3 linked regions of the Macaca fascicularis genome follow. The protein of the gene in region 2 interacts with the protein of the main gene of each other region in a pairwise test. Links are inferred from orthologs where the notes say so. Each region holds a gene or a part of one and is shown on either strand. Other genes may lie near its edges. The genes, in order: FXR2, NECAB2 and SSC5D.

Region 1 (3,652 bases), on a different chromosome or scaffold from region 2:
CGATGGCATGATCTTGACTGACTTCAGCCTCTGCCTCCTGGCTTCAAGTGATTTTCATGCCTCAGCCACCCTGAATAGCTGAGGTTACAGCCATGTGCCACCACGCCTGGCTAATTTATTTATTATTATTATTATTAGTAGTAGTAGTAGTAGTAGTAGTAGTAGTAGTAGCAGTAGTAGTAGTAGTAGTAGCAGCTATGGGGTTTTGCCATATTGGCCAGACTGATCTCAAACTCCTGGCCTCAGCTGATCTGCCAGCCTTGGCCTCCCAGTGTTGGGATTACAGGCATGAGCTACCACTCCTGGCCAGAAAGAACTGTTTGTCTTTTCAACAAGCAGTGTGGAACAAGATATCTGTAGGTAAAAAATGGGCTGGGCACAGTGGTCACGCCTGTAATCCCAACATTCTTGGAGGCTAAGGCGGGTGTGTTGCTTGAGTCCAGGAGTTTAAGACCAGCCTGGGCAACACAGCGAAACCCTGTCTCTATTAAAAAAATTTTTTTTTTATTTAAAAATATGTTTTAGGCTCAAGCCTGTAATCCCAGCACTTTGGGAAGCCAAGACGGGCGAATCACGAGGTCAGGAGATCGAGACCATCTTGGCTAACATGGTGAAACCCCATCTCTACTAAAAAGTACAAAAAACTGGCCGGGACAAAAAACTAGCCGGGCAAGGTGGTGGACGCCTGTAGTCCCAGCTATTTGGGAGGGGGAGGCAGGAGAGTGGCGTAAACCCGGGAGGCGGAACTTGCAGTGAGCTGAAATCCGGCCACTGCACTCCAGCCTGGGCGACACAGCGAGACTCCGTCTCAAAAAAAAAAATAAATAAATAAATAAAAATATGTTTTAAAAAAAGAGGCCAGGCACAATGGTTCATACCTGTAATCCCAGCACTTTGGGAGGCTGAGGCGGGTGGATCAGGTCGGGAGTTTGAGACCAGTCTGACCAACATGGAGAAACCCTGTCTCTACTAAAAATACAAAGTTAGCTGAGCATGGTGGCACATGCCTGTAATCCCAGCTACTTGGGAGGCTGAGGCAGAATTGCTTGAACCTGGGAGGCGGAGGTTGCGGTGAGCCAAAATTGCACCATTGCACTCCAGCCTGGGCAACAAGAGCAAAACTCTGTCTCAAAAAAAATAAATAAAAATTAAAAAATTTAAAAAACGTTGATCAATACCTCACTTTATATGTAAAACTTAATTCAAAATGGATTATAGGGCTAGGCACAGTGGCTCACATCTGTAATCCCAGCTTTGGGAGGCCGAGGCGGGTGGATCAGCTGAGGTCAGGAGTTCGAGACGAGCCTGGCCAACATGGTAAAACCCCCTATCTACTAAAAATATGAAAAATTAGCCTGGTATGGTGGCGGTTGCCTGTAACCTTAGCTACTCGAGAGGCTGAGGCAGGAGAATTGCTTGAACCCAGGGGGTGGATGTTGCAGTGGGCCAAGAGATTGTGCCATTGCACTCTAGCCTGGGTGACAGAGTGAGACTCTGTCTAAAAATAAAGGAGTATAGATGTAAATGTAAAACAAAAAACTAAAAGTTTAAGAAGACATAAGGGAAAACCTTTGTGGCCTTGGATTAGGCAAAGATTTCTTTTTTCTTTTTTTTGAGATGGAGTTTTGCTCTTGTCGCCCAGCCTGGAGTGCAATAGCACGATCTTGGCTCACTGCAACCTCTGACTCTCAGGTTCAGGTGATTCTCTTTCCTCAGCCTCCCAAGTAGCTGGGATTACAGGCATGCACTACCATGCCTGGCTAAGTTTTGTATTTTTAGTAGAGATGGGGTTTCACCATGTTGGCCAGGCTGGTCTCGAACTCCTGACCTCAGATGATTGGCCTGCCTTGTCTCCCAAAGTGCTGGGATTACAGGTGTGAGCCACTGTGCCTGGCCTGGGCAAAGATTTCTTAGATATGAAACCAAAAGCACAGTTGATAAAATAATAAATTCATAAGCTAGACCTTTTTCAAAATTAGAAATCCCTAATTGTATGTGACAAATAGGGGGAAGGTAGAAAAATTGGGAGCGCAGGGGTGAACTCATGGCTTTGGCCTCCTTAGTGAGGACATAGACCACAGGAGATGGATCAGCTGTTCAGTCGTCCCTGTTCCTCTTGTCATAATATCAAGTTTGGAGTCTTCCATACATTTTGTTATCCTTTATAAATTTTCAGTGTCATTCTAGATTCAATTCTAGTATTAAAAAACTCTGATGTATTTTAAGTCTTAATTTTTCCTTCTGTAAATTGTGTTCATCACAATTTTGAACTTGTCTAGTGTTCTGATTATTGTCTTAGGACCCATGCATCAGGGCAGCGAGTCTGCTCAGATCTCTTGCTGTATTGCGGAGGTAGGCCTTTCTCTCTCTTGACAGATCCTCATGTCCTCTAGGTGTTCCAGGACAGCCTCACACTGTCTCATGGGATATTCTTAGCCTTGCTGAATGTTGTTGGTATTTTAATTGAACTCTGGCAGGCTGCTCAGCACAACAGGAGGCAGACAGATAGGGAGGCCCCTGTGGGAGCCTGAGTAGATCACCGGTTTCCAGGCTGTTCTGATGCAGGTGGTACATACACCTCTCCATGACAATATAATTTCCTTTCTCTGTCTGACTGCCCATATTCTTTCCCCAGTGCAGCCTTTCAGGCTCTCTCATTACACCACTTGTGTCCCTATCTAAAACTCAAGTTTAAGGGTTTGTGGTGTCTCTATTCCCTTGGTGGCTAAGGTGGAAGTAAAAGGTCATTTTATATTTTTTACTTTTTTCTAAAATCCATTCTAGGGCTTTGTGAAGGATGTCCATGAAGACTCTGTCACCATCTTCTTTGAAAACAAGTAAGACCTTGGGAATAGAGAATCCAGCATACTAGGTCCTAGAAGGAGAGTGGAGAAGAGGGGGCGGCTGAGTCCTATGAGGCATGTAATAGGTGGGGAGACCTGAGGGTTTGGGTGGGGAACTTACATGGATCCCAGGAGAGGAAAGGGCTGAGAATTTGGTGAGGGCGGGGGCGTTTGGCCCAGTATTTAGAGTCTAGAAAGAGATGGATGGCACCACTATGGAGCAGGACCTGGGGGTTAGCCTCTGATTATCCAGATAGGTGGGAATCGCCCAGCCGAGGCAATAACCCTTTTGTAAAGAAATGGGCAACCATATCAGTCAGAGTAGCTTTTTCATATTCTTGTTTCTCTTACAGCTGGCAGAGTGAGAGACAAATTCCTTTTGGAGATGTCCGACTACCACCTCCAGCTGACTATAATAAGGAGATCACAGAAGGGGATGAAGTGGAGGTAAGGGCTGTGGAGTACACCCTTTCTAAATGTCACGTTTTCCCAGGATTCTAGGCTTTTCTCTGGTTGGTTCATATTCCTTCCTCCCCAACTAAACCATATCCAGCCACTAAGTCATTTCCATAGGCTACATGCCTGTGGAAATGTAAAATGCAACAGTTCCCCTTTCATCACTGTTATGATCAGCCAAACTCTGAGGGACATCCCCAGTTTCAGGGGATTTGCCTTCCATTTGTGGTAACAGCATCTAAAATCCAGTGTGCGCTGATTTTTTTTTTTTTTTTTTGAGATGGAGTCTCGCTCTGTCGCCCAGGCTGGAGTGCGGTGGCCGGATCTCAGCTCACTGCAAGCTCCGCCTCCCG
Region 2 (2,680 bases):
AGGGAGGCTGGGGCTCAACAGTGGCCACCCTAGTCCTGTAGCCCACCCCTATACACAACCGCTGCCTTCAACCTTTCTGGTCCTCCAGCGAGACTCAACAGGGTGCCCCCACCACCTGGAACAAGGCCTGGTTTCTTATAGTGGCCAATAGCTATTTCTCAATGACATGTAGTTTTTTTGAGACAGGGTCTCACTCTGTTGCCCAGGCTGGAGTGCAGTGGCACAATCACTTCAGCCTCCCACGTAGCTGGGACTATAGGTGTGCACCACTTGGCCTGGCTAATTCAAAAAATGTCCTAGTAGAGCTGGGGTCTTGCTATGGTCCCCACGCTGGTCTTGAACGCCTGGGCTCAGGCAGTCCTCTCGCCTTGGCTTCCAAACTGCTGGGATTACAAACTTCAGCCACTGTGCCCAGCTGAAATGTCATGTTAAAATCTTCACCTTTATTTAAACAAAACCAGGTGGCTGCGTGTGATGGTTCACACCTGTAATCCCAGAACTTGGGAAGTCTTGAGGGGCCGAGGCAGGTGGGTTACTTGAGGCCAGAAATTCAAGACCAGCCTAGCCAAAATGGCAAAACCTGGTCTCTTAAAAAGTTGCCAGGCCTGGTGCCATAGGCCTGTAATCCCAGTTACGCAGGAGGCTGAGGCTTGAGACTCACTTGAACCTGGTGGGTAGAGGCTGCAGTGAGCTGAGCTTCCACCACTACACTCCTGCCTGGGCCACAAAGCAAGATTTGGTCTCAAAAACAAAAAATATATATATACATATAAACCCTATCTTTAAATTATCAAAGCATCTTCCTCCTAATTGTCATCTTATTTAATCCTTGCAACAACCCCACTGCACTGTACCTGACCGAAGGAGGCTGCGGGAGGGGGGCATTCACAGAGGAAGGGGCTGCAAGCAAGTCCCCCTTCACTCTTTGGGACCCAGAGGACAGCACTCACCTCATTTTAAAGGCGCAGATAGGCTATGCCGCTCCGGGCTTCTCTCTGCAAGTGCACTACAATGAGGAAGCCCCAAGTGACCATAAAAGGGCGGGGGGGCAAGAGCAGGGGATGAGGGGTAACAGTGCTCAGCCTGGAGGGAGGGGGACAGACACACCGCTGTGCAGCGTTAGGTACACTGTGCCTGGCAAGTGCAGTCTCGCCTGGCTCTCCAAGCTGGCCGTCTCCAGTTCAACAAACAGCACTGTCTTCTACTGAGGCTCCGAAACCAGAGCCTCTATATCCACCTTGCCTCCTCTCCACAGCCTATCGGGGTGGCCCTACTTCACTCTGGGGTCTCCCACTTCATGTAACAGAGAAAAGATCAAGTCTGGCCCCTGCTCCTATACAGTCTGTCCTGCTGGATGGGAGTGGGTCCTGCCCACCACCCTGGCTACTTACTCAAGCGTGGCCCCTGATGGCCACCCTGGGTCTCCGCAACAGCCGCACTCCTGCCCAGGCTGCTCCTCCCCTAGTGCTACAGGTCAGGCCTCAGTGCACAGGGGGCCCAGGAAGACCCCGTGCAGGACCTGGCCTGCCTCGTTCACAGCCATGCCCCCAGGCAACAGGGCGAATGAATGTGTGCCCTGGGGATGGAAGAAAGCCCTGGAAAGGGAGGGAGTTGGGCAGAGCCTTGGTGTAGAAATGAAGGGCAGGGGAAACACCTGGGCCTCATGCTCTTTAAGGGCTACTACCAGCAAGAACAAACGGCTGTTGTCTTCTGTGGACCCCTCCCCTGTGGCCATGGCCTAGCTTTACCAAGGAGCTACATAATCCTGGGGGGATGAACGGGAATTTGAGGGTGAGGCCCCTTGCCCCGCCCTAGACATCTCACCACAGACCCATAGGGAGGAGGGAGAGAATGGCCGCTACGTTTCCATCTCAGCACATCCGTGGGGAAGGGGAGAGGGGCGGCTACATTTTTTGGGCATTTCCCTTCAGCCTCACCGACTCGACTCTCCTTTCCTTTCTCGGTTGTTAACTGAGCACACACTACATTCTGGGCCTGGTGTTAAGCAGCAACTCCTGCAAGAGCAACAGCTAAGGCTGACTGAGCGCACGTGGCACACCAGGCCCGGCCAGAGCCGTTCACACTTGAGATTCACACACTTGATTGTATATGAATCGTGATCACCCCAACAAGGAGTCCTGGGGGTGGCCCCCCCCTTTTACAGATGAATGAGCTGAGGACAGGGAGATGAAGGCACCTGCCACGTTTGCATGACCTGAACCCAGTTCTTATTCACCCAGCTATGTGTCTCCCTGGGGTGCGATTTGTACTTAGGGGTAAGCCTAGTCCCGCGCTGTTCCTCCACTGCCAGGCAGAGCTCCCTGCCACCATCCCTCCCACTCACGCTTCAGCAGCTCACTCACTGGAAGCAGCTCCTCGCTCCGGCAGTCCCCCGCAGATACGGGCGCAGGGAGTCCAGAAACTCGCTGAGTTGCTCGGGGCACACGGCCATCTCCTGCCGGACCAGCTGCAGGTGCTGCCGGGCCACAGCAGGAGTCAGTGTGGGGCTCCATGCCAGAACTTCTCCCTAAAGACCCCATCCGGCGTCCATGACCTCCCTCCCTTGGTCTAAATAAACCTCCCCGACTTTTCATTGTATAATGAAAAGTATAAGAAAGGACTAGAACCTCAAGAGCCCAGTGCAGAGGTAGCCCCCACAAACGGGGAAAACGGACGAGTT
Region 3 (3,652 bases), on a different chromosome or scaffold from region 2:
TCCTCATTGTGGGCACAGTTGTGCTTTCCCCAGGGAGCAGCAGGGCAGTCGGACAGCGAAGCCTCGGTCCCCACACAGGCCACATCATCTAGCCAGATGGGACCCGCACCCCAGCCAAAGCGGCCAGCAGCAGGGTCTGGCTGCCGAGGTCCACCACAGCCCAGCTCCCGGCAGACCACGACTGAGTCCCGCATGTCCCAGCTATCGTCACACACGGTCCCCCAGCGCTGGTCATGCCACACCTCCAGTCGACCTGAGCACTTGCTGGGCCCAGCCACCAGGCGCAGCTGGGGGGACCCTGGGGTAGAAGAGACCCAAAGAATTAAGAGTCAGGGAAGCCACCCAGCCTCCTGACTCTTCATCTACCTTTCCCTCCCTCCATCTTCCTTTCCATGCATCCATCCGTTCATCCATCTAGGCCTCCCCTCCATTCAACCATCCTTTCCTCCAGGCAGCAAATATTTAATGAAGCCTTTTTTGTGCCATTTTCTGCATTAGGCACGAGGGATGATGAGCCAGGCAGAGTTTGGAGGATCTTCAAAAAGCTACACATCGAATTACCATATAATCTAGAAAGTCTATAGTAGGGATATACCCAAAATAAACTGAAAACAGGTATTCAGACAGACACCGGTATGTGAATGTTCATAGCAGCACCATTCACAGTAGCCAAATAGTAGTGGTTGTACAACATTTTGAATGTATAAATACCACTTGAGTTGTATACTTAAACTGGTTAACTTTATATTACATGAATTTCACCTCAATTAAAATAAAAGTCTTTTTCCCTGCAATTGTTCACCACCCTTAATTTTCTCTCATTATTATTGGTTTAATAAGGGTTTTTTTTTCTTCTTTTTTAGATTTTATTTTCCTAACCACTAGACCACCAGGGATAATAAGGTGTTTTGTTGTTGTTTATGAGTCAGGCACAGCCTCTGCTTTGAAAAACTCTCGGTCTTTAGAAAAGGTAGTATGCACACACTTCATTGCAACTCAGCGAGCTAAAGGGAGTAGTGGAAGTACCAAAAAGGCAAGGCAGACACACAACGAGGAGAAGGTGAGAAAAATTCTGCCTGGGGAAGCTGGAGAAGCCTTCTCAGAGGAAGTCCTTTAAAAGACAGGAAGCAGCAGGCCAGGCACGGTGGCTCACGCCTGTAATTCCAGCAACTGTGGGAGGCTGAGGCAGGCAGATCACCTGAGATCAGGAGGTCGAGACCAGCCTGGCCAACGTGGAGAAACTCTGTCTCTACTAAAAATACAAAAATTAGCCAGGCATGGGCCAGGCGCGGTGGCTCACGCCTGTAATCCCAGCTACTCAGGAGGCTGAGGCAGGAGAATCACTTGAACCTGGGAGGCAGAGGTTGCAGTGAGCAACCACTACACTCCAGCCTTGGTGACAGAGTGAGACCCTGTTTTTTTTTTTTTTTTTTTAAAAAAAAGGCTGGTAAAAATGGTAAATTTTATGTCATGTATGTTTTATCACAATTTTTTTAAAAGAATGTGAGCCCTGGAACAAGCGTTTTTGCTTGAATCCTGGCTCTCCCATTTCTCAGCTGCGCTGCCTCATCTGTAACATGAAGACCTGTCAATGCCCACACCGCAGTGGCTGCGAGCGTCACCTGGACTGAGACATGGAGAGAACTGGGAACAGCATCAGTGACCAGGAGCCAGCGCATGCTCGATCAGTGTTAGCTGACATTATTATTCAGGAAAAGGGGAAAGAGGCCTCTGGGAATGGTGACCATGGTGAAAACAAGTTGCTGCTTTTGTTCGGCCTTTTCCCGTCTTGAGGAGACAGCTGTGTTAACCACGCCTTCTTATTTTCTGTATTTCTGATGCTTTGACATCTTGGAGCATTCCTGATCCTGAGGGACTGCCCCTCCCAGGGTTAGCTAATTCCTAGAGATGGTAAACGGCTTGAGCATGCCTTCTGTGTGCAAACCACCCTCTCCACGGGGCTCTCACACCCTGGGCCACTCTGCACCTGTCCTCACTGCTGCAGGGCCAGGTACCAGCCGACTGAGGACAACGCTTCTGAGCCACCCCCACCCCCCACCGAAATTCTTCAAAACAGCCAATTCTAAGCCTGCTTGCCCTGTCTCACCTATTCCTTCCTGCAAAAAACACAAGAAAGACCCCTGCACCTGGCCGGGCATGGTGGCTCACGCCTCTAATCCCAGCACTTCGGGAGGCCAAGACAGGAGGATCACTTGAGGCCAGGAATTTGAGACCAACCTGGACAATAGTGAGGACCTGTCTCTACAGAAAAAAAAAACTTAGCTGGGCACGGTGGCATGCAGCTGTAGTCTTAGTTACCCAGGAGGCGGAGGTGGGAGGATCACTTGAGCCCAGGCGTTTGAGGCTGCAGGGAGCTGTGACTATACCACCGCACTCCAGCCTGGGCAACCAAGTGAGACCCTGTCTCTAAATAAATATATAGATAAAGATTCCTGCCATGCCTCCCTCTCACTCCCTCTACCTCCTGCCTGGCCCTGGTGCTTCCCTGTGTGACCCCGTGTGGCACGCCGTTCTCTCGAGAACCGTGAGTCACAATCTTTTTAGTGGCTGTCATCTCCTGATCTCCTGGCCTCACCGCACCTGGGTAATAATAACACCTATATTTTAAAACAACAGTCCTTTCAATACTCATGACAGAGGCCAGGCGCGGTGGCTCACACCTCCAATCCCAGCACTTTGGGAGGCCGAGGTGGGCAGACGGTTTGAGCTCAGGAGTTCGAGACCAGCCTGGGCAACATGGCAAAACCCCATCTCTGCAAAAAATACAAAAAATTAGTAGTCCCAGCTACTCAGGAAGCTGAGGTGGGAGGATTACTTGAGCTTGCAGGTTGAGGCTTCAGTGAGCCATGATCATACCACTGCACTCCAGCCTGAGTGACAGAATGAAATCCTATCTCAAAAAAAGAAAAGAAAACAAAACAAAACAAAAACTGGTGGAAAGGAGGCAGGCAGAGCCATTGATCATATTTGCTAAAGAACTAGAGACTCTGGAAAGTAAAGGTAATGTTTGAGCAGGGCTGTTCCTTCAAGCTGGCCCAAGTACCCCATGATGGATCCTACAGCCACACCGTGCAGCTTGGGAATAGAGCAGACCCAGCCCACCATCCTTTCTCTTATCGAGGACTGGTTACAGAATTTTGGGGGCTCAGTCAATGATGAAAGTCAGGACCCCTTGTTCAAAAATTATCACACGCTTCCAGACATGACAGCAGAGCATTGAACCCAGCTCAATGTCCTGGGTGAGGCCCCTGTGCTCCTCTTCTCCACCTTTCTCTTTGCAAGAGGCCCCCCATAAGACAGTCTCAGAGCTGAGAGAAGAAAACAGAAGGAAGGACCTTGTTTTCTTGGGGAGCATGGAGGGACTCACCGGCTTCCGGTCCGGGCTCCCAAAGGACAGTAGGGGAGGCTGGAGGAGTTGAAACGCCTGCCGTCCCCGGAGCCTGGCTCGTCATGGTGGACGGGGGCCTGGAGGCAGCCTCCCTGGGCGTGGAGTTGTTGCTGTCCATGGGGGCCGTGGGAGGGACATAGCCCAGGGGCATGCCTGTGGAGCAGGGGATAAGTGATTGCCACCCACACACACCATCCGGGAGCTGGAGCCGGCATCCCCACCTCCCGCATCATCCTTCTTCAG

Evidence for each region.
Region 1: the proteins of NECAB2 (region 2) and FXR2 interact in a two-hybrid assay, tested with the Homo sapiens proteins (2 studies listed by BioGRID and IntAct). The link is inferred for Macaca fascicularis from reciprocal best matches to the Homo sapiens genes NECAB2 and FXR2.
Region 3: the proteins of NECAB2 (region 2) and SSC5D interact in binary tests that used the Homo sapiens proteins (3 or more experiments, as listed by UniProt). The two-hybrid records come from large-scale screens. The link is inferred for Macaca fascicularis from reciprocal best matches to the Homo sapiens genes NECAB2 and SSC5D.

The regions. Positions count from the first base shown.
Region 1 is NC_088390.1:7,657,129-7,660,780, reverse strand, and holds part of FXR2 (RNA-binding protein FXR2), read left to right. Parts: intron 1-2,784; coding exon 2,785-2,837; intron 2,838-3,196; coding exon 3,197-3,290; intron 3,291-3,652. UniProt on the Homo sapiens protein: mRNA-binding protein that acts as a regulator of mRNAs translation and/or stability, and which is required for adult hippocampal neurogenesis. Specifically binds to AU-rich elements (AREs) in the 3'-UTR of target mRNAs.
Region 2 is NC_088394.1:79,873,355-79,876,034, reverse strand, and holds part of NECAB2 (N-terminal EF-hand calcium-binding protein 2), read right to left. Parts: intron 2,477-2,680; coding exon 2,364-2,476; intron 1-2,363. UniProt on the Homo sapiens protein: May act as a signaling scaffold protein that senses intracellular calcium.
Region 3 is NC_088393.1:63,443,832-63,447,483, reverse strand, and holds part of SSC5D (soluble scavenger receptor cysteine-rich domain-containing protein SSC5D), read right to left. Parts: intron 3,563-3,652; coding exon 3,389-3,562; intron 299-3,388; coding exon 1-298.